Linked DNA regions of Drosophila melanogaster. The protein of the gene in region 1 interacts with the protein of each later gene in a pairwise test. Each region holds a gene or a part of one and is shown in the gene's direction. Other genes may lie near its edges.

Region 1 (8,503 bases):
GGCGTGGCGCGTAGTGCGCTAATTTAGATGATGCAGGTGTGAAGCCCAGGTAAATGGGTTAAAATGAGGCATGGTGGGCGGAAAGGAGAGGGCAGCCGCAGGACTCAGTAGTTCAGGTGGTTAGTTAGTGGAGTGCTCGCATTGCCACGTTTCGTTGGCGGAATGTTGTGATTGTAAAGAGATCTTCTCTCTCTAGGAAGCCACGGAAAATTGGCAAAAATAATTAGAAATCCTGTGGAGTAGAGTAAAGCATCAGACAGCTGATATTTGGAGTAAATAACTACATAAGTACTGCAGATCTTTTCAGGAGTGTGAAAATTTGTATAGATAACAATATGGTTAATTATTAGAAGCAATCCGAGTTTTTCTTCTAATCAGAAAAACATTTTATCTTTAAATACTAAATGGAATAAGAGTATATAATTCCTAGAAGTATAAACTAAAATTTCTCAGCTCTGAATTTATTCAGGCCAGGTCAATCAATCGGGATAAAAAGCGTAGTATAATTTTCGGAGCTCTGTGCTGTCAAAAAAATAATCTTGAGAAAATTTTGCAGGATTGCGCCACTCGCTATGCATAAATTAATTTGGTTTCAAAGTTAGATCATCGCATTTGGATGTATTGAATGTTTAACGATTTTCGTTCACTTTGGGTAAAATACTTGTGAAATTTAAGCTTAAATTGCCATTTTAGGAGAATTTTTGGTTATCTATCGTCCACTCATATTTGTGCTTTTGGCTTTCTCCTCATTAGCTCTCTCCACAATTTTCACAATTTCTTTTCTATTTTTCTATTTCTCTTTCTTTTCCAGTAGCTATCTGCCCCCCCTTTTTTTTGCGTTTTTTTCCCCATTCTGTTGGGCAAAATTAACTTTCCTTGCCGTTGCATAAAATTTAAATTATATTTGCTTTTATTGCCGCTGTTTTATTTTATTTCATTTCGAGTCGCGTCCTTTGCTTTGCTTTATTTTTGCAAGATTGCTTGTTTTTCCTCGAGCGGCATTCTATTTTTGGTGTGCGCATCATTTCCATATCAATAACAGATGGACCTCGAATTCCCGGCTCCCTGCTCCCAGGAAAATAGCTTGACCTGGGTCGGAAAGAACTGGGAAACTGGCAAGTTGGATAGCTGGAAAACTGAAGCTCCTGGCATCACTAAAATCGCATTTGCCGGCGGGGATTATTTGCTATAATTCATGCTGTCAATGCAAATTGAAATTGTGTCACGCAGTCAAGTCGGGCATTTGACGTTCGCATTTTCCATTTTCCGCACTCGCCAATTTTCCAGCATGCCTTTTCCTATTTCATTCATTTTTTTTCCCGTATTTTTTTCTACACACCGCTAACCGCAATTGTTGGCCAGCTTACATCTCCCAGGTCCTGCCGGCGAAATCTCAAAACACAAATGGATTTTTAAATTACCCTCGTGGCACTTTTCGACTCCTCCACATTGCAGGATAACGCTGCGAGGACGAGAACGGGGATGACAATGAGAGCCATAAAACTGTGCTGTGTGTAGGTAGGTGCATTGAATTATCTGCGACATTCTGTGCAGTTGGTTTAATTCAGCAAAATGCATAGATATGAGAGGGGGGATCATAAACTATGCATGGGCAGCGTTTGTCGAGCGAAAGAACGCTCAAATTGCTCCTTCTGAAGATGCAGCCTGTGGCTCCTTGGCTTGCTTTGCGCTTTTTGCCCGCTGCTCGTCCTTTGCATTGTTGAGTTATGTTTCTTCCGATCCCACACGCCCCCAACCCCCCCCCCACTCAGCGCCACCCACTGAACACCCTGACCTCTACGCCCACTAACCAACCTCCCATCTCATCCTTGCGCACATTGAGGTTCAGTGAAGCGGCAGCAAAACCCCTTCGCCTTCCTCCCCTTCCTGCGTTTTTATATCGCTCGCAGGCGGCACTTGCATAAACCAAATGCAGAGACAAGTGTCTTCGTCCTGCAGAGAGAGAAAGATGTGGACACTATGGATGGATAGCCACTCAATCCAAACAAAAATGTGCCACATAAACAAGAAGACGCTGATACGTTGAGTGCATTTTACATATTTTTTTACTACTCTCAGATTGTTTATTTATATTGAATACAAAAATCGGACTTTGCTTATTTAAACAAAATTCCTCGAAGTGATATTTTTCCAAGTGTTTGGCCTGCTTGGCTGGACACGCTGAATCGTGGAGGTTTGGCCTTGTTCCCTCCTGATAACCCATCTTCCAACTCCGATCTCCGAAAAGGGCTGCCGGCTTTCGACGTGTGTCAAGTGTGCTGCATTTGTTTAATGCCAGCGCTCAGTAATTGGAAAGCATGTCGAACATGTCGAATTTATTGCCCCGCAAAAAGCACACAGATACAAATTGAAACGGTTACAGATTACGGATGCAGCTAGCTACACATGGCCACAAGGTTACATAGACACGGATACAGATCAATGGGGGAATTCAGAGCATTCCGAGTCAATGGCTTGGAAGAGCCTCAACCAAATGCAATTAATCAAACGCAAGGGGCCAATGTCAATTACATGCAAGAAACCCCCATTTCGGTCTCCTATTCTCCTATTCCTTCGATTCCTCCCAAAATCCCTTCGATTCGTTGCTATTCGGAAGTATTCGGACCACGTCAGCTGGCCAAATGCGAGTTGTTGGCCAAACGACGATGTCTTGGCCAACACCTTCCTGTAAGCTATAAATTCCGCCGACACATACATACATCTACCAGCGTAGCCATTACCCACGACTGTTGTCCTTGTGGGCCAAAAGCTTGTTCGGTTTCTGGGTCCCAGCATATGTTTATCACTGCTGCCGAATTCTGCCAACCAAAATTGCATTAAATATTTTGCATAATTCGATAAACTGAAATCTAATCGAATGGCAAGCAGGAACATGCGAATTTCTGGCATACCTATGTATAGATCCCAATTGGAATAATGATTCATCCCTAATGGCTTCGTAATTGAAACTATTCACTTAACAGCTCTTGACACTTGAACCTCATCATAACATGGAAAACGGTCATTTGGTCGGTTTTAATGGTGTACTACATTTTTGGTTTTGACAGTGAACTTTTAGCATATTATGTTTCTGAACATAAATTGCGTTGATTTAGACTATCGCTTAATTATGCCAAATAATATGTTTGTTTGTTTATTTAGTTTTCAAACCAAGGCGTTCAACAGAAAATGAATTATTATTGGTGGGACACAAAAACTAGGCTATATGGAATATTATTTATTAATATTAACAAATGAATACACCACATGTAAATTTATAAGTTAGCAATTTTATGTTCAAGTTTTACCCGTAAGGGATAATGTTCCACCATCTTTAGATTCGCAAACTAATTCCGATTACAGGTGTTGGCCCGATGCACAGATAACACATTTATTTAACATTTATTTAATAAATAGTAGTAAAATTATATAAATATCACATTTAATAAATTGAGTCGATTTAAATCTTTGAGCATGCAAAGCGTGCTGCAAAACTAATTTACTGATAAGAAAAAGACTTTCGAAGTTTCCAAAGATTGAATATCCTACAGGTTGAAGAATCCTGGATCAAATTGCACGTTTTTATGCTCGGGGATGCAAACCGAAATTTGGTGGCACCTCTCTCTGCTGCCGCAACATGTTGCAACAGTCGCGGCAATGTTGCTGCAACACGCAGTCACCCCCCGCAGAAAATCCACCACCGACGAAAGTATCCATCGGATACACGAACTCGCTTCGGCTTCCAACTGAGTTTTAGCAAGAAACTCAGTTTCTGTTTCTGGTTTTGCCAGTTACCACTGCGACTCCGGACCGATTGGACGCGTTTTGAGCGTTTGGCCAGCAAGAACGGTATTATTTTTCACTCGGGGCTACGCGTGCGCGTCTCTGCAAAGTCAAAAGCAAAGACAAATGCAAAGGCAAGTGCAAAGCCAAAAGGCAGAGGTAAACGCAAACCCAAAGTAACAACTTCGACGGTCGAAATTACCGGTTTTTCGCCAACACAACATACAACAATCCTCGCTCTCAGTGAATTTTAGCGCGCGGTCTTTTCTTCGCCTGCTGTTTTCAGAAAAGTGCGTTGGCTTTTCCAACAACCACCCCCTTTTTTTAGCCGCCCAGCTTAACGGTCGGGGTTATAGTCGGTTTAGCATTCGAATTATTCGAATTTCCCGGAATCAAAATAGTTAAATCAGTTTAAACAGTGCTCTAGAGTGAGGCCAGTCACACAAACTGGCGAGTGCTAATTATAATATATTGTGTTAATAATACAAACACAAGATTCACGCAGAGGAAACAACACGGATGCGCGATTTTAAATGCAATATTATAAATATTTAACAATGCAGCCGTGCAGCTAAAGCGGATTATTGGCCACCCACGCGTGGAAATTCAGCGGCAGAGCAAACAAAAGCCTGTAAGTTCACACGTTCCAGCCAGGATATATCAAGGATATGTGCATGTGCTCGCGCATATACATATGTCCTTGTGGGCGGGATGCGGCTGCATTCTAATGGGAATTGTGCGACGCATGACACCTGATTCATGACGTATGACAGGTGTCGTTCCAACAGGACACTATATGTTCCGCAGGCGTGGCCTTAAATCTCTTAGATAAACTTCGTATTTAAGGGCTTACGCCATAGCGGAATCGCGTAATTCATATTTTCAAAGGGTTATAAGCTCTAGAAAAGTATTTTGTATCTGCATATAAATGGGGGCCTGTATGAAATATTGCTAGAACCTTTATTTGTTATATGATATGGAAAGACGCTTAGTGGTTCTGGCTACCTCTGAAATGTTTCGATTTAAGACGTTCTTAATTAACGGCTTTCAGCTCTAGGGCTTCGGCAATAAAATAGAGCTCCAATTGGGCCTTTAAACCTAAGGCCTCTTTCTTGGCCATCTCCAATTAGCAGTTGGCCCAAACAGTTGGCCGATGGCCGAAGTCGAAGTCGAAGTCCGACGCTCACACAGTGCAACTGTTAAAGTTCAGAGCCATCGCAAAAAGATACAAACGCGAAGCTCTAAACAAACATTAAACTGAATACCAAATGAGACAACAAAAGGAGGAAGCACAATAAAAGTCACATTAAAACGTGGGTCAAAAACGCGGAGAGCGCGAGGAGAGAAAGGAGAAGAGTTGGGTCAAAACATAACCGAAATCGGAATCGGGGAATCGTGGAATCAAATGCCTGCACGAGATACAAATGTATCTGTATCTGAGCGTTGCAAGTGCTTTGTTTTCCCTGCATTTCACACTTGTCCATGGGATTTTGCCTTTGCCATTGCGTTTGTATCTTTGTTTCTGCGCCCTTTGTCTGGCGCATAAATATTTCAGCAGGCCGGGACAAACTTATCTGCTGGATACATTATTCACTCGACTCAGTTTTGTCGGATTGCCAATTTATTAAGATAGATTTTATTTTCGAGGCCATTAACAGGGCCTTTGTTATATTTCGATGGGGGCCAGATACTCTCGCACATTTATGTTTTATGATTTTCTAGTTGGAATGCGGTGTGTTTGGTGCAATTGGAAGAGTCAAGTCAAGTCCATTTTGAGCCTGCCAGTGGCAAGTAGCTGAAAAATTGTTGTAAGACTGGTTTTCTGCTACTGCTCCTCGTTCGACCCCTTTCTCCCTGCCTCTCTCTAGCTCTCTCTGTCTCTCTTTCTCGGCGTGTTACCAACCTTTTCCCATTCTTCTTGCGGCTGGTGCAGAGAAAAAAAAGTTATTTACTTAGGTTAATTATGTGATCCAAGTTTAGTTACACACAAAAACATCAAATGTCGTTCTATTATATTTTATAAGACGATTAATATTAAGAGTTAAAGGCTTAAGGTGTTATCCTTTAATTTTTACAATAGGCTGTTTTCTTGAAATATGTGTAGAATGAGTTTAATCCATTTATATTTGAAATCAAATAATTGCGGATATAAAGATTAAGTTGTAGTAGAGGAATTACTTGAATAAAATTTAAGAAAAAGTAGGTAAATAAAATATTTTACCGTGCTTAAAATGAGTTTGTTAGCGCCTGGCTCTCTTCGCGGTTTTGCAGCTGTCTCGGCCAGGTTAGGAGCAATCCACCACCGGCAGGCAGATCCGCTACGGGCCATCATCCTGACCAGAACGCATCCTCTTCTTCTTCGGTAGCCGCAACCTGTTTTTCATTGGTTATGTTTTTTGTTTTTTTGAGTTCGAAGTGATCAGTTAAGACTTCAGTTGGCCAAGGAGCCAACGAAAAAGGTGATTTTTTCCGGCTTCTGATGCCACATTCACTGCGAATAGCCAACTCGCACGGCGAACTAACCTCAGTCAATCCATTCGATATCCATGCCGGCATAGGAAAACTCGTTATGACTCTTGATTAATTAACATTTGAATGCTGTCTCGTGCCAGTTAATGTGGCTGATTTGTGACCGGCTTGAGTCCATCAAAATATCAACAGTCTATTGTGGAATTTATTACAGAATCAGAGGGCCAATGGCCAAATGAGATTTGCATGGCATGGAGTTGGACGAATTCGTGTGCACACACCAGAGATTCATTGATGACGTTGATGGTCCACATTTTTCGGTATCTTTTGTGGGTTTATGGTGGCCTCTCTTGGCCACTACTCACACGGCTATCCATGAGATACTTCTGCGTAGGCATCGGCCCTCTTGGTCGCGCACTCAAAACTGGTTTCGGCCACATTCAAAATTGTTATGTTAGAATAAAAGCTTAATTGATGCATATACACACGTACGGTTCAGTTTTATACGGCAGCAGTGGTCCGTAGATACAGCCGAAAAAAAAAACAGTCAGATACATTTACATATACAAATACAGATGGAAGCAAATCCAGACGCAGCTGGATAGGTTATGTCATGCGGCGTCTATCGCATGATTGATGGCATTTGGTTGGCTATGTTTCTCTGGGCTCCTCCGTTGAAATTAGATATTGATTTGGTTTCGTTAATAATTGTATTTCGGATGCTCAACAGGTGGAAAAGTCTAATACACGAAATGAATTATGAATGCTGGCTGTGAAAGCATATACCAATTAAATATTTACTTAGCTCCGAAAAGCTATCTATCAACTATCAACGCAATGCCCAGGAAAAATATTATGTGAAATTGTTTTCTTTCAATGAAATATCTAAGTTTGAACTGCAAAAGCTTAATGCCTTGTTATATTCCATATTGACTTACGTTTATTTTGTTTACTCGAAAGACCATGTCTTAAAAACATGAAATAAAATGAATTTAATTTATATTTAATAAAATGCCGGCTTTCAGAAGTTGTATGAACTAAACAAATTGAATTTACCATATTTATGCGTCAATTAGAATCTGGAATTTAGTGTCCTTGCTCGATGAAATTACAGCTTGTTTGGCCGTTGGCAAACTAAAATCTCGCATGTTCAAAGCAACCGAAGCGGTGTGGTGGCAACCCTGTCCATGGCTGGATGCCCAAATTGATTGATTGACAGCCCTGCACATCAGGCGCATCCGCCCCCCCCCCCCCCCAAACGATGTTTTTAGTTTTTGCTAAATTCACTATCACGTCAAGTAGAGCGGGTGGTTTTTGGGTTGCGGTTGGCAAATGCATGAATAATGTGGCAAAAAGGATGTTCCATTCCCTTGCAGATGGGGAATAGGAATTCACACGTCGCTGGAATCGGGATCGGCAAGCTCGGCATCGGGTGATTCAGAAGTTCGAGAGTGTGCGAGAGACCTCATTAGTGTTAATTCAATTAGAGGAGCCAAAGTTTGTGGCACTTTGGCTAATGAGGCATGTCCAAGCATCCAGAGTATGCCCAAACGCCAGGGAGCCCAGAGATGTGTGCCGTGCCGTCGATTTGCATGCTAGAAATTTGTTTCAATTGCATTAATTAGACTTATCAATTTGGGTGGGCGGATGCACGTATGGAGGCCGCCGGGCAGATCGGGCTGTCAAATTAAGTGAATGACGTTGTGCTTCTCATTAGGAAGAATAAGTCACTTTAAATTGGGACGGAACTCTTTGCCTTCAATTCAAATTCGATATATGTATGTGGCAAATTAATACGCCGATTGAAGATTAGTTATCAAACGTAAATTGATTAGCAAGTTTAATTGTCTACCACCTGAAAATTAAGTTCTCATTATTCTGAGTAAAACTATTACAATGCAACATAATTACCTTAAAAGTGCGGATATATTGATTGCATTGCAGCTAAACTTTTGTAAATAATCTATTAATTAAAGGTATTTATTCTGCAATTGCTATTTGGGCCAAACTGTGAAATGAATAGGCGAGAATTTATTTAATCGGTTTATAGGCAATCAATAATTTCGAATAAATTTGATAAATGTTCCTGTGTCTTTAAGCCATGTAATGTATTGAATTCATATTTATTGGCCCAGATACATATAGTAGTGCCTTTTAGCTATTTAAATAACATAGCTATTAAGGTTGTATATAAGCCTATTATTATTTAAAATATTTGAAAGAAATAGTCAGAAATTTGATTTTAAACAAA
Region 2 (8,142 bases), 3.6 Mb from region 1:
GCTAAAGTATTAAGCCTAGTAGCAGTCTAGTGATATTTAAGATAATCTTTTAAATAATCTCTGATGTTATATATACTTTGCAGTTATTAAAATATATTTATGGGTTTGTACGATTTCATTTAATTTTAAATTGAGTGAATATTTTGATAAAATTTTCTTCTGTTTAGTCAAATATAGGGGAGTGACAGAACAGGATTGGAAGGAGTAAGGGAACAGAGCTTATGCAAGAAAATATTTACAATCAAGTCGATTAACAAAAGGAAACCTTGTGACGCGCACTTTGAGTTTTTCCTTGTTGTTTCCGAGCCCCGCTTTCTTCGTTTTTTTCCACTCTCCCCCAGAGGTTCGGGTGGTTTTCCTCCGACCGGCTTGGTTTTTGTGTTTTTGCGTTTTTAATTAAAAATCAGTAGACTCACGTAGTCGCTGGCTCTGCGGAGCCTCTTCAGTCGCCGACTGTCATCAGCGCCATTTGGCAAATCAACGTAATCATTGCTCCTCCCAGCTACCCGTTGTTTTCGCCACCCCTGAGCAACAATATTTTTCATAAATACGACGGAGGCAGCACTTGAGATCTTTTGCCACATTTCCCCGCCAGCGACAACAATTCATAAGCGACGTCATCATTAGGGAAACATTTGCCGCCTACACACTCCTGCCACACGAGTGTGTGAATTGTGGCGACTCCCGCTGATTCCTGCCTGCCTTTCCAGCCCAACTCCCCATCAAACATCCTGGCCCAGTGCTTATTGTCTTAAGAGGAAGTCAGACGAGGGGCAGGAGGAGCAGGAGGAGGCACAGCCGCCGAGATTGGCAAGCGGATTGGGGCTACGCACCTCGCTTTTCATTGAAAAGACTCCCTGTTGGTGGTTTTTATGCCATGGCGGAAGCAACCAGAGAATCGCAAGAGGATGCACACTGTGGTTCCACCTTGAATAGTACAAAAATGCTAACAAAATTAACGGTAACTTTAAGTTATTTGATTGAATGTAGTGTTAGTGTAAAGTTATTCTGTTCAATGCGCAATTCGTAGATGCGAAATTTTAATTAATTTTAAGTCATAAAAACCATAGGAATATTGATGAAAGCTTACTAAACCATTCGAAGATTGTCTTATTAGAACAGTTCATATTTAAATGAATTTACTAAATATTTAGTTATTCTTACAACAATATATATTGAATTTTGAAGAAAACTCCAACCTCAAGAACATAATTGTGAAATATGAAATATATGCTAGAAACGAAGTATATTCTATGCCAGCGTAAATATCACAAGCACATATCTATATAAATAAATACATAGTAGACTTTTGTTTGGAATATACATATAATTTTTAACATTGTGGGGCTTAAGTACCACCTTGGTTCACCGATTTGCCCCACTGTGCCTTCACTGTTCAGCGAGCAATTGCAGCTTTACTTTTTGCGCGTTCTATGCCCATCTATGCCCATCCGCCCCTTTTGAAGTGCTTTCGCCCTGCCTTTCTCTTTGCCACTGCCTTTGCCCACTCGCTTGTGTGTTTTATATATATTTTGCAATTTTTCACTTTACGACTTTCACATTGTTTATGCAAATAGGCGAAAATGCTATTTGAATTTAGTAGAAGAGAATTATGATAACGCGATTGTCAACGGCAACCCTGATTTTATTTTATTTCCTTATATTTTTGTTACCATTTTCCCGTTGTCTTTGCCGCTGAGATACAGTTATGATTATGACAGGCACCATGTTGTTTGGGGCAAGTGAAAAAAATATTAATAAAACACTACACAGCCACCCCTCCACAGCTACACACCCCCCACCCCACGCGACACGTGCGACAAGCCGCACAACAGTCGGTGTTATTGCCCCGTTGCTGCCTTTTTTACAAAGTGTAAATTGTTTTAATACTTTTTAGTGCCACGCAGCGCCATCTTGTGTCGCGTAGTGGCGGCAGCTGCGCCAAACAGCCACGCCCCTCCTCCGACCATCGCCCACCGCCCACCGCCCGGGGCAACTTTTGACTTACACGTGTACGTTGCACGTTCAAATCTCAACTTTTACGACCTCTGCAGGATATTATCGTCGTTGTTTTACTAGCGTCACTTTCGGGCTTGTTGTTTTTTGCGCTCCTGCTGCAATGACGTTGACTTTAACCTGTTGGCCATGGCCAAAGTGGGAAAAGGGCTACACTTGGAAAAATTATCCCCACTTTTCACTTCTTTACAGTATTCAGTCAGGAGTATTCATATTGTCATTTAAATCAAGCAGAACATCCTTCTTTAAGATGTGGTCGGGAAATGTAGTGAATCTAATTCAGAAGTTAGTTTTATAGTTGAATGGAGCTTAAAGGCATTGTCTATCGACCATACAACCAATGATTGATTACTAACGATAATGATAATACAATCACCTTGAGCATCTAATGTTCTCAGTGCACCAATTTTCACCTGCTGCTGGCATCTGACAACTGCTTTCGCTGACATTTCTCCAGTTGGAGACCGTGTGTCTCGGTTTTAATCAAAATTGTTTCATGAATTGTTCAGTTGTTCCAACTGTCAAATAAAGTTTTGACGCCCCTCTTTTCGGAAAACTCCGGGCAATTAAAATACTTTTGGCAGTCACTTGCTTATTTCGTTTGCCTTCAGCCGCTTCATGTTGGCTGTTCTCTTCTGGCCTGGTCCTCAATTAGTTGGGCCATTTCGCCCATCACTCTTTGAGTGTCGAAAGAGAGTGCAAATATTTAACGTTAAATGGGGAAATTAATTTATTTACTTTCGTCTTTCATTGCAGTTGGTGAAACAATTTGTTAAAACGCAAACTTCGCAATGGCAATTCGTTTGGGAGAGTTTTGAAGGTAAGTTAAAAATTCAATTGAATCCTTTAGCTTGTAGTAAAGGTCACTAATTTTAAATTATTTCTGGTTGTTAGTAGCCAGAGAAGAAAGTATAATTGCAAAGTGTGAGAAGTTAGCGGCTCTAATTAATTCATCGAGAGAGACACTTTATATAGCGACTCAAAATAATTCAACGAAAGACACATTTTATATTGTGCAAATAATTTTCATAGCATTTTTATATCCGAGATAGTTAGTGGAATGCCTCGGAAGTGAAACTGGTCTTTGATCTATTAAGTCGATTATCAAAATCACCACATAACTTTAAACTAAAAACCATTTTGAAGAATACTTATCCCAAATATCAACAGGACATAATTGCACTGGCTAGTAAATTCTAGCTCAGCCTCAATTGCAATGAATCAGTAGCTGCGTGTTAATTGAATAATATGTGAAATCGGTGTCGACTCCATTACCGTCCGTGTGCTGCCACAAGAAGAGAGTCCCGTGCAGCATAGGGAAGCCACAAACCCTAATTTCCAATGATTGGTTTGTTCCCTCGTCCACGTTCCATCCGCCCGTCTTCATTTCCATTCCGGGGCAAACGGATGGATTTCATGAGAGGGGCCTTACCCGATTACCACATTTTCACCAAGCCCGCAGTCTAATGACCACCTATGAGTGCGCTGCTAATGTGGTAACACAACGCCCAAGGGACGCTGGCCGTGGTCTTCCCTTGTTGGCCGTGATTGAAATGGGTCAATCGCTAAACGGCCTGAAATGTGTCAAATGGCCCGAAGACAGCTGCATCAACCAGTTGCAGCTACCAGAATCTGCCTCTTCAATAGCTGGCTAATAAACGCCACCACATTCTGGCTCGAATCCGAAGCACTCAACCGAAAGCCACTCGACTCACCTGTGCCACCTGTTTTACCTGCACTTGCTTGGGCCACAAGAGCGAGCGAGAGATATATAGATGAGAGAAAGAGAGCTGTGGTGAGTTGGCTGGATCGTCTTGGTGGTGAGTTTGACCTGCACCAACCTGGCCAAAAGCCGCCTTTCGGCCAACAGCTACTTTCTACAATCTTCAGTTGTTTGAGCAGCCCCAAAGCGAGCGGTGCGAGTGCTGTTCTTTCGCGAACCAGGAATTCAGATAGAATCCCAGCCGATACGTATCAATCCGATCGCGAGTGCACGTAATTGGAGCAAGCGGATCGCCCGTTAATTGCTGGCGACGGTAATTGCAGGCCGCCGCATACCTGCCAACTGCTTAAGGTGTTCCCCGTTCGTTAATGTGTCAATTGATTGATTGGCCCGCGACCCGTGATTGACGTGCGTTCCACTCACCGCGATGCTCTCGAAGAAGCGCTGGTGGAAGATCCGGCTGCCGCAGGTGGGCAAGCAGGATCAGTCGAGGAACTACCGGGACATCGTCAACCTGAGCGAGTGCTCCTCAGTGCTGGCCAACACGGCCACCACGATTAGCGACAGCTCCACCACCACCGCCAGCAGCGGCAGTCCCACCCGCCACCGGAGCTGCGACAGTCTCTCCAAGAGCTCCCAGGCGGAGGCGGGCAAGCTGTTCCCCCGGAACATGCCCAGCATACGGCGGAGTCGCCGACGGGCTGTGTCCGCGGAAAGGGAGCGCCTGGCCAGCCGGGAGCGGCTGGAGGAGCAGGTTCAGCCGCCGAAAATGCCGCAGATAGGAGCTGGACAGCAGTCCCGGCTATCGACGGTGACCAAACTGACGCCCAGGAAGCAGAGTAGCAAGTCCACGTGCTCCAAACATCGGGGCAACGCCCCTGCGAAGTGCATCATCAAGTCGGCAGTGCGAACCAAGACCAAGCCAAAGGCCACCACGATCACCCTAGCACCCTACGAAATAGCGCTGGAGCTGCCCAACGAATCCCCTGCACCCACTTTGGCCATGGCCGTGGCCCAATCCTCCGGCTGCGTGCAGAGGAAGCTGAGCAGCGAGGATCAGTTCCACTCCTCGGGAATCTCCTGCAACGGGGAGACCGACGATGACGTGGAGGTGGCCATGCTGACCGGCAGCTTAACGCCCTCCCAGATAGCAAGGATCCAGGGGCAGCAGATCCTCCGATATGACGATCTGAGGAACCTGAACCGCTGCCGCAACAGGAACGCCGTTTGGCTAAATCCCAAGGATACGGAGCAGCTCCTCGAGGTGGACAAGAGCAGGAGGAAGGCCAACTGCTACTTCAACCAGGCCATTGCCGACGATATCCAGCTCAGCGATATTGAAGAACAATTGGCCAGATTTGATGGCCACTCAAAGAGGCCGCCACCGCCGGCAGCCACAGCACCCAAAATGTGAGTTTCCACCGGCTATCTCTAATGGCCATAACTCTCGGCGATAAGTGGGCGAGGGAAAGCGGAGTTGTCGGCGGGAATGTGGCCAACTAATTTGAAATCCATTTGATGAGCTTTGCATTTCCCAATTTAAGTGACTATAAAACGGGCGTCGCAGTAGAGAGTTTACGGCCCAATTTGATGGCTGCTTAATAGCTTCATATGAGCCGTGCTCCGTGCTCCGAGTTGAGGAGCAGTTGGGTTCTGGAGGATTCTATTCCTAACCACTGGAATCATACTTTATGGTTCTTCAAATTAAACTGGCTATTCGAAGTTATAGGCAAGGCAGATCGCATTAAAATGGGCTGGCACACTGACAGCTTTATAGATTTCCGACTTACGTTGAGTTAATACTCGTTATATTGAAAATGGCCGCTTTCGTGTTTGGTAATTTAATACCTTTTAGCTGCCGTTGAAAATGTGGGTCTGCAACTTTCTACCAATGTTGTTTTTACAACTATTGAAAGAGAAGTACGAAGGCCAAACAATTTACCGAATTTACCGACTACAATTGCAATTGTTTAAAAGGTAATAAACCAATGGACACGATTGTTGTTTTTGGCCCTTGGGTTTATAGCCCATTTGAAGTTTGCAATGTTAATATGGAATTAATCCCGTGATCTTTTTTTCTGTTGTCATTTTTGTCACCATCGCCATTTCTTTCCCTTATTAGATTTCATATTGTTTAGGATAAATTAATTTCTTCAGAACTTCTTAAGGAATCCAGAACGATAAGGCATACCTCTTTGGCGGCTCATAAATAGAGCGGAGTTTATCATTTTCACCTGATCAACAGCCGTTGTTGGCTACGCGTATCAGTTTCAATTGCGCTGAGAGTACAAATCCTACAGGTCACCCTCGAATAATGGCACAAATAATCCGCCATAAGAGGCTCTGTCAGCTGGAGGCGACTTTGTGGGCTCGCTAAGAAGGTGTTATTAATGCCCGACTATTTGCAAAACTGGCACCGGAAAGTTATTTATCAACTTTCTGGCCAGCACGTGCTCCTTCCTTCGCCTCGCTGTCGAGTTTTGTTAACTGCAAAATGAATTGCATGCAGCTAAGTGGCAACAGCAGCGGTTAAACGAGGCTGGCAGAACTTCGGGTCCACTGAGCCCATCCTCACGAGGTCCTTCTCCTCCGATCGCCCGTCACCTTGTGTTTGCATCCTGCAGCCTCATAAATTCCATCCGACGACTTCATAAATTGAGTTCTTTTTGCCGCCTGACTGAGTGCCCTTCATCGAAAAGGTATTCTGTATCTTTCAGATCTTTCAGATCTTTCAGGTCCTCGGCATCTTTGCCATTTCTGCCATCTCTTCCATCTTTTGTATTCTCTGCATTCCGCATGCAGACTTCATTTGCATGGACTTCTGTTCATAAATCTACGCAAACTGTTAATTAGATTTTGTTTTGGGTGAAGCCATAAAATATTGGTGGAAGGAGTGCGCCATCAATTTCCCTTAAACAGAACTTTGTAATTTGAGACGCACATCCACCTCCAGTTCCACCTCCAGTTCCACATCCATATGCACATCCTCTCGAGCCATTCGCAATCAGCGGGGCTATTACATTCGCAGTTTAAATAAACCAAACCCAATATTGACTGGCGGCTACTTAAAGCGTAATTAAGCGCCTGGCCGGCCGAACACTTTGCATAGGAATCTCAACAATAAAGTAAATAAGTTGGGACCGCCGGCGGCCCTCTTTTGCCAGCCTGGCTAATTGAAGTTGGCCAGAAGCGAGGGGCTAGTCCGCGTCCATGGACCACCCGAGTGGTTCACTCCGGACTTATCGGTTTACGATTTGCTGTGATTTAAAAATGAGCTACGCATTTGATTTTAATTGCATTCGATGTGCGCAGTAGTTGCGAGTGGATTCGAGTGGAATGGAATGGAGTTGGAGCGAAAGCCTTTTGGCCGTGATATATGGCATTTTAATTGAAATGGCAAAAGGCCGACAATCGTGTAGGGAAGAGGCATGGTCGTGAGGGGCGGGAGCTTAATCTGACTTTAACTGATTCGCGGACACATCAAGTAACGCCCCTTCGGTGCTCAGCGCTTCAGTGAAGTGGATCTGATTTTCTTTGGCCTTTCTTCTTCTTTCTACATATTTTCAAATTATTTTTTCGCTGGGCGTTCGGGCAATTTCTCTGGCTGTCAGCGAACGAAGCCAATCAAAACCACAACTTGTTCTCCAGAAGATTCAACCCCCTATTATAGTGACACACACATTATAGTGTGACACAATCCCAGGGCCAAATGTTTTATAAGCCATCTTTGTCTTAAAGTGGCTGGGAAGTCAGAACTCGCGTTTTATTGATTCAACACCTAATCGAGAATCCATAAAACGCATTAACAAAACACAAGATTTACAAGTGAATGGAGAAGAAGACAGAAGAGTTGATTGATTTCGCCTCGAGTTGGGGGAAACTCAATTTATAATCTCGAAGTGGCGGGTCAAAGGAGGGGAGGGATGGAGGGTTAAGTATTTTGCAAAGCAGAAATGTGTTTATGAAATAAAATCGAAAACCGCAAAATAAAATTAGCCAAACAAGCCGTGGGCCAAAGGGGAAAGGGGAAAGGGAGGGAGGAGCTGGCTAAATTGAAGGGCGTTTCTTTGCAAGCTCATTATATTTCCTGTTCTGCCGCCCGATTATGATTATCTTTTCTCCTTGGATGCCCTGTGCGGTACATATGCTACATATGTACAATTCCGAGGAGCTCCGTATCAGGATGGAGTCAATTTAGTGGCAATAAGTCAGAGGTTGCTGATTGGGAGCGTGTGTAAGCCAAGTAAAGTGTTCTAGCCACGATCGGGAGTCGGGCACTTCGATAACCAGTTTGGCGCATTGTTGCGTTTAATTTTCGTAATTTACGTTTAATTGAAATCGGCGGAGAGCACAGGCCGTGTAATTAATTTAATGGCCATCGCTTTGTTGGCCAAATACAGGTG
Region 3 (8,151 bases), on another chromosome or scaffold:
CGATGGAAGATGATGAAGATCATAATGATTCCAAAGCCTGGTAAGAACCACACAGTCGCTTCATCTTACAGACCAATAAGTCTACTCTCATGCATTTCGAAACTATTCGAAAAATGCCTGCTGATCCGACTTAATCAACATCTGATATACCACAATATAATCCCAGCCCACCAATTTGGATTTCGCGAAAGCCACTGGAACCATTGAACAGGTGAATCGTATTACAACGGAAATAAGAACTGCATTTGAATATCGCGAATACTGTACAGCAGTATTTTTAGACGTATCCCAAGCATTCGACAAAGTCTGGCTCGACGGCCTAATGTTTAAAATTAAAATATCCCTACCCGAAAGCACACACAAACTTCTAAAGTCTTACCTCTATGACAGAAAGTTTGCAGTGCGGTGCAACACTGCCACTTCCACTGTTCATACAATTGAGGCTGGAGTCCCCCAAGGCAGCGTTCTTGGGCCAACCTTATACCTCATCTATACAGCCGACATCCCTACAAATAGTCGCTTAACGGTATCCACATTTGCCGACGATACAGCTATCCTTAGCCGTTCAAGGTCCCCTATCCAAGCTACAGCACAGTTGGCACTGTACCTCATCGACATTGAGAAGTGGCTCTCTGACTGGCGAATAAAAGTAAACGAGCAAAAATGCAAGCACGTGACGTTTACGCTAAACAGACAAGACTGTCCTCCGCTCTTGTTGAACAGCATACCACTCCCGAAAGCAGACGAGGTAACGTACCTAGGAGTACACCTAGACAGAAGACTCACATGGCGCAGGCACATTGAAGCCAAAAAAACCCAACTTAAACTCAAAGCCAACAACTTACACTGGCTCATCAACTCTGGTTCTCCGCTCAGCCTAGATCACAAGGTCTTGCTCTACAATTCTATATTGAAACCAATCTGGACCTATGGCTCACAGTTATGGGGCAATGCCAGCAACAGCAATATTGACATCATTCAGCGAGCACAATCAAAGATTCTGAGAACCATCACTGGGGCACCGTGGTACGTTCGGAGTGAAAACATCCAAAGAGACTTAAATATCCCATCAGTTACCAACGCAATCACGGAACTTAAGGAAAAATACCATAGCAAGCTTCACACGCACCCCAACCACCTAGCGCGAGGTCTAATCCAGCTCAGCAGCCGTTCCCGTCTCCGGCGAAAGGACCTACCAACCCAGCGAATAAATTATTAGGGCCGTTTAAACATAGAACAGTTGGAAAAATAATACAACTGTTCAAAAAATACTTGTTATAGTTAAGATTTTTAAACTTATTGTTAGTTCTTATACAAGAAGATTCAATAAATAAAAGCAAAGTTAAAAAAAAAAAAAAAAAAAAAAAAAAAAAAATATCTGCACTCAGAAAAAAGTTTTTTAAACGTTTCATTTTTGTTAATAACTTATTTGCATTTTAATCGTTTGGATTTAAAGCATAAGATTTACATATATAAGAATTTTTGTTAAAACGATTTTGCACTACCAAGTTTATAGTAGTAGTAATAAAAAGGAAATAAAGAATTTATTAAAGGCTTGTTCTAAGTTCTAATTTCCATAAATAGCATGCTTCCTAAAACCCTTATTAACTGCCATTAAAACCAATTATTCCCTAAACAGCATGAATGAAAATAGGTGAGAAAGAAGTCGCTGCTAATTCAATTTTCCTTTCGCTTATCTAATGAAGTTCATCTGCATTCGGGGTGTTATTTTTACCCTTTATACCATTTTAATTACATTAAATTACATATTCCAAAAACAGACACGGCAGAATGACAACAACAACGGAATCACTTTCCAACAAAGGAGTGGGAGCGGAAGAGGAGCACAGACAGACAGAGAAAGAGAGGCACAGAGCAAAACGTCAAAGTTCGTTCACTTGTAAACATAAAATGAGCGGCAACTGCAAAACAGCAGCAATACCAACAACAAGCGGCAAACGGAAACCGACTGAACAACAACAATGGAGACCCAGAAGCCAAGACATACATGCACTGGAAAAAAATTTATATCAATATTTAATTTAAATTTGTGATATGTAACCACACATCGTAGTAAAAATCTACTCATAAATATTATCATATATGTAAATAATGAATTGATGGGAAATTTTATCTTAAAGCGAAGAAATTCGAAAGATATGTGCTTAGACAGCTTAAAATCGTTAGTAGTAGTAGCCTTTAACATATTCCAAGCTCCTCTACGGAAATTATAAATTATATGTTTGTTTATTATTATAGTATATAAGTGATTTTAAAAGTGCACTGCTTATTTATCTGAAAATTGTACTTTAATTTTTTGTTAAGTGTATCTAGCGATTGCAAGGGGGAGACCGAGAAAAAGAGCCTTTTTATGCGGCGCAACTTTGGCGCTTTTTATTAAACAAGCCGACGAAGTGTAGAAGCGAAGAATAGGATGAGGAGGTGGCGGTGGGGGAGAACTGGGGTTGATGGAGCCAAGAAGAGAGCGGATAAAAAGAGCAAAGCATAAAATGAACTTTGCCGGCTAAACCGGTAACACTTGTTTAACGCAAAAGAGAGTGCGGGAGAGCCAGTTATGTGCTGAAAGAGATATGTTAAGTAGAGAGCGACAGAGACAGAGAAAGCCTGATCGGAGAAAAGGGTTCTACAGGTGACAAAGACAAAAGACTGCCAAGACTCCTTTAATGTCATCATTATTGTCAATATAACAAGTTTATTGACTGGCAGCAGATGCCTAACCCCCCACACCTCCCTTGGCGATCCACCACGGGGTCATTAGACAAATTCCCGCGATAAGTTCTCTTCACTCATGCTAAAGCTCAGATTAAACGCAAGTTAATGACTTAATTAACTGCCGGAAAAAAGCGAGCAAGTAAACAAACAACAGCAAAAACTAAAGATAAAGATAAATGGTAAATGCAAGTGCGCAGAGAAATGGTCGACGATAAAAATTGTCGCAGAAATCAAGGAAATTAACGCGTGCAAATATGTATTTCTATAGAGGAAGAAAGCTGGAGAAAAGCAATTATTATAGGTATATTCCAGTAGAGGGCAAATGTCTTCTAACGGCACTTGCAACAGCTGAAGATTACCAAAGAACAGTGGGAAGTGTAACGGGCATCGATGGATTGATATAAAAAGATAAGAAGGTGCGGTGACCTAAGCAATATGACATTTTAGAAACTGAAAAATATTTAGCTGACATGCACTGTAACTTTTTGACATTCGGACATAAATGTTGTATACTCATTTCGTTTTCGGATATGTATCCCATTTCAGCAAGGATTTTTTGCTGGCAAAATGATTCTAGTCTTTTTATATTGGAGCCATTTTAAATGCAGCACTTATTTCTTTTATTCATTTTATAAGCATAAGATTGGTTATAATTTATTATATCGAAAAAATGGTTAATTAATTAATATTTAAATTGGAATCTATAAATATTTAAGTATTTACAAAGTGAATATCGATGTTCAAATTTCCATTGAGCGGGCCCAACACCTAGATTTGGGCACAGCTTCCGCCCCTAATTTCCTATTAGCCCTGTCGATTGCATAATCATCTTGAATTCTAATTAATTAAATGGTCTCTTATTTAGTTGTTTGTTGATGCTTTCTTTTTCCTGTCTGCTAATCAACAGGAGGCCAAGAAGTTGAGAGGAGACAGAGTGCGAGCGAGACAGCATCCAAACAAAAGGCATAACAGCCCTGTCTTTCACTTCGCTCTCTTTGGCTCTCTGGCTCTCCCGCCGAGAGTGTCAAATTCAAGGTCGCCCCCAGTGCTATACTACAAAGCGTATAGCTGAATAAAACCTCCTCTCACACCATTCGAGCGAAAGAGCGCATATTCAGCGTGTGAGCAGGAGAACGATACGGTGAGAGAGCGGCTTGGAAAGAGCCCCATGTTTTCAGTTCCTCAGTTTGTCAGCGTATGCCCTACCATGCGGATGTGCTCGCGGATTGATTTCGACTCGAACTCCGGCTCCGTTTTCGTCTTTTAACGTAAGTCCCGTGCGAAAAAGTTGAATTCGACTCCGTGTTTGTTCAGTTATTTTTTTGCGCGGTTTTCGAAAAAGTGAAAGAAATAAGGAAATTCAAAAAGCGGGGGAGGCATAAATGATATACAGCTAACGGTACTTATGTATGTGCATACAGCAAGATAAAAATGTGGCTGCTAGAAAAGTAAAGCCCGGTACTGTGCCAGATAAAAGCCAACGCTACTAAGTCCTAAAGACCCCCAAAAATTAAATTTTGACACAATAATATTTTGCCAACAACAAATAGCAAAGTCGAATTCAAACGGTTAAACCAAATTGAAGTCGGAAAATAACAAAAAAAGTCTAAACAAAATAAAGAGCAAAAGCAAACGCAAATAAGAGAATAGAGAGAAATATTTATTATTTGCTTATAAGGCCAAACTAAATATTTGCCGCCGGCAAATATTTAAAAGGTGTTAAGTGTTTCGTGGGAGTGAAGTTTTTAAACAGGGAAAATAAATCAAATAAGTATTCAATGGTGTATAAGTGAGTGCAAGTAGATGAGCAACATGTGTGTGTTTTAAAGTGTTTAAAGAGATCGAGAAAAAGCCCCAAAAGTTATTTGACAGCGATATCGAAAAATTCCAAAATGTGGCGTCAAATCCTGTTTATTTTACCCACCCTGATACAGGGGGTCCAGCGCTACGATCAGAGCCCCCTCGATGCGAGTCCGTATTATCGCAGCGGCGGGGGATTAATGGCCAGTTCTGGGACCGAACTAGATGGACTGCCACATCACAATCGCTGTGAACCCATCACCATATCGATCTGCAAGAATATACCATATAACATGACCATTATGCCAAATCTTATTGGCCATACCAAGCAGGAGGAGGCGGGTCTGGAGGTCCATCAGTTTGCTCCGCTCGTGAAGATCGGCTGCAGTGATGACCTCCAGTTGTTCCTCTGTTCCCTGTACGTTCCGGTCTGCACAATTTTGGAGCGACCCATTCCGCCTTGTCGATCTCTGTGCGAATCGGCGCGGGTATGTGAAAAGTTAATGAAAACCTACAACTTTAACTGGCCGGAAAATCTGGAGTGCTCCAAATTTCCCGTCCATGGAGGCGAGGATTTGTGCGTGGCGGAGAATACCACATCATCGGCCTCCACGGCGGCCACGCCCACAAGGAGTGTGGCTAAGGTCACTACCCGTAAACACCAGACGGGCGTAGAAAGTCCGCACCGAAACATTGGATTCGTGTGCCCCGTGCAACTGAAAACGCCTCTGGGAATGGGCTACGAACTAAAAGTTGGCGGAAAGGTAAGTTCTTTAATGAAAATAAATTCACTAAAAAGCGCCGAAAAATAAGCATCATATAAAAATAGGGGGTTATAGGCGCATACTGTATACCTTTTAAAACATTAGTTTTCTATTATTTATGCATTTAATTTTATGATTAAACATGTTATGATTATGACAAAAGTTAAAAACAAGTTCTATAATCATCCGTCGGGTGAGCACAAACTTTTAACCATGTCCAAACTAAAAACGAAGTTGCACAAATAAATTTTGGGTACTAACATCTGTTTAGCGAATGTATTTAGCGCTTTCTTGACTAAATGTATGCTTTAAGTACCCCAAGCCTTTTAGTGAGTATTTCGTTTATTTCTGGAACTTAATATGCCACATTTGGGTTGGTCCCATGTAGGTCAATGATTTTTTTATGTCTTCATTTGAACTCCAGACTCAATTTGTAGAGCAGCGTAGAAGTAGGGAAAAATGCAAATCCTGTTGCGCCGAGAAAACAATTTCCAACCACCAGGGAAAACAGCAGGAGGTCCTTGGCAGGCCAGGAATAACGAGAAGAAGGAGAGAAGGGCGACGAGCCCGCATTCTACCTGCCCGCAGCTCACAAAAGATGGTTAACAGCGGCAGGTAGATCGTTTTTTCTTTGGCTTCGGTTGAGGAAAGGTAAACCAGTTCTTTTTGGAGTTGTGTAATTTGTAATGCCTGCTTAAAAGTATTCCCAAAAAAAGTAAAAAAAAAATGTAACATGAACCATAGAATGTTTAATAACTTGAACTGAGGGTCAGCCTGTTGCATTTTCACGTTCTTTAATTAATTTTCCACCCTTTTCCTTTAGCAGCTTTTTTTCGGGTTCTTAAGCCCCTCAGCAGACTGATTTTTCCACGATTTATTTTCTGTTGGTTTTGGATGAGTGATGATCATCGTCTATGTGTTTCCAATGTGTTTATCTTTTGCTATTTTTAGCCGTCACTCTGTTGTTGCCGGCTGCCATAAGTAAAGCGCATTAAATACTTTGAGGCAGGATAATTCACACTTCCCTCAGTGTCTGGATATCTGGCGGATACATGTGTATCTCTTAGCTACTTTACCATTGCGATTTCTCGGTGTTTTTTCTTCTTTCGTCTCACTCGCTTTTTCTTGATTGGTCTCGTTTTTCCTTGGCTGTGTGTCATCAGTTCCTCTTGGCCTTGCTGCCTTCTTTCCATCCCCATATCATCATGGCTGTCAGCATCTTTGGTTTAGCCGGAGTCCCCAGACCCCGTGCTTAAATGCCTTTTGAGAGCTGCGTGCGAAATTTAGCAGCTTGTTTGCCTGGATTGCATTTGGCCCACATCACGATTCTGTCTGTAAGAGTATCTGCAAATGAATCCGTATCTGTATCTCTGTGTGTTTTGGCCCTGTTTGCCGTGCTTTATGAGCTAGATAGGTCTCTTTGTCTGCTAATGATAATGGCGCAGTGTGAGAGCGTGAATTAATGCTTATTGGATAGATAATGATCCGACAATATAAACATATAATTGCCATGTTAGAAACTAGTGGTATTAACAAGCGTTTTATAAGGGCTCCACAGGTACAGATAAGAAATTGGTCGAAATCAAAATTATAAACTTTATGATTAATAGACAAAGAACTATATTTTAACCCAGAGAAATATTGATTGATATTAGAAAAGACTATTACTAAAAGTTATTCTATTCAAACCGAGCTGTGAAAACACAATTGTCGATTGGCTATTTCATCTCGAATTCCTAAAATAACATTATTGCCCGACACCTTTGAACGATTTAACCCAAAGCCAACTTTTAACATGTTTCCTAAATTCAGCAGAGTATATTAAATATTAATTCCATTCATCTGGGCTAATTTTTCAATTTTCCTCTTTGAAATTTTCCGATTTGCTTGTCAGTCAGACCTTTTTGACTAAATTAACCAGTCACTCTCGTTGAAATTCGTGCCAACAAAAATCTGGCATACAAAATATGTAATTTCGCAAATCAATTACCCAAACCAAAGGGCAAAACACGGCCGGATGAATTAGAGTGCGAAATGCCGAATGGAATTAGTTGAAAATTCCCTCAGTCTGTGCTGAAATAATCATAGGCGAAAACCCGTAGGGCATGACACAACTCAACCCTTTTGCCGCATTTCACAGTCCTTTTTCTTGGCCTTTTCTTGCCCCGAATCCATTATGCAAAGGCTGCGGTGCGGGGTAGGAAAATCTGTTTTCCATCTGAAAGGAAACTGAGTGGAAAGCCAGCAGTCATAAGAGGGCACAATCAATTACGGATTCGTTCACAATTAAAAGTCCTGGTTGGGGGCGAGTCTCCGCTCCGGATGAATCAATTTAGGGCCTACAAATAATCCCCAAATCGGACTGATTCTCTTTCACTTCACCCCCTCTAAATGCGTCGAAAGCGTTCTAAATGAGGCTTTTAATGGATTTACGATTTCCTAAACAACCAAACTGAAATCCTTCCCGCCTTTCCGCAAACTAAACTGTTGTCCTTTCGCGCTCTTTGATTAATTTATTTTCGGCCGCCATGGGTTAGGCGGTGTTTGCAATCGGGGCACGGGCATTCTGGATAAAAGTGGGCGGTGGGCGGTGGGTGGCGTTCGTCTGGTTGCCCAGTTGTCTACACATGTAGCCATCAATCGGACATTGCCCCGCAGTAATCTGTTTGCTCTGAAAAGGTTTTGACGTCATCTAATGGTATACGTTTCGGTGGAATTCGACACGGAAAAGGGATAATGATGGCCGGAAGTAAATGGGAAGCTCAGTAGGATATTGAAGACATAAACACAAATACCAACGATTTTTCGTTGGGAAAATATAGACACTCAAACAGTTGAGCTGAACAGTAATTTC

What was found. Proteins that work in one complex are often made in the same cells at the same time.
Region 2: the proteins of stan (region 1) and esn interact in a two-hybrid assay, tested with the Drosophila melanogaster proteins (one study listed by BioGRID).
Region 3: the proteins of stan (region 1) and fz interact in binary tests that used the Drosophila melanogaster proteins (3 or more experiments, as listed by UniProt).

The regions. Positions count from the first base shown.
Region 1 is NT_033778.4:10,669,556-10,678,058, forward strand, and holds the start of stan (starry night), read left to right. Parts: upstream 1-3,789; 5' UTR 3,790-4,414; intron 4,415-8,503. UniProt on the Drosophila melanogaster protein: Involved in the fz signaling pathway that controls wing tissue polarity. Also mediates homophilic cell adhesion. May play a role in initiating prehair morphogenesis. May play a critical role in tissue polarity and in formation of normal dendrite fields.
Region 2 is NT_033778.4:7,102,776-7,110,917, forward strand, and holds the start of esn (espinas), read left to right. Parts: upstream 1-3,904; 5' UTR 3,905-4,166; coding exon 4,167-5,149; intron 5,150-8,142.
Region 3 is NT_037436.4:14,270,430-14,278,580, forward strand, and holds the start of fz (frizzled), read left to right. Parts: upstream 1-3,913; 5' UTR 3,914-4,625; coding exon 4,626-5,297; intron 5,298-8,151. UniProt on the Drosophila melanogaster protein: Receptor for Wnt proteins.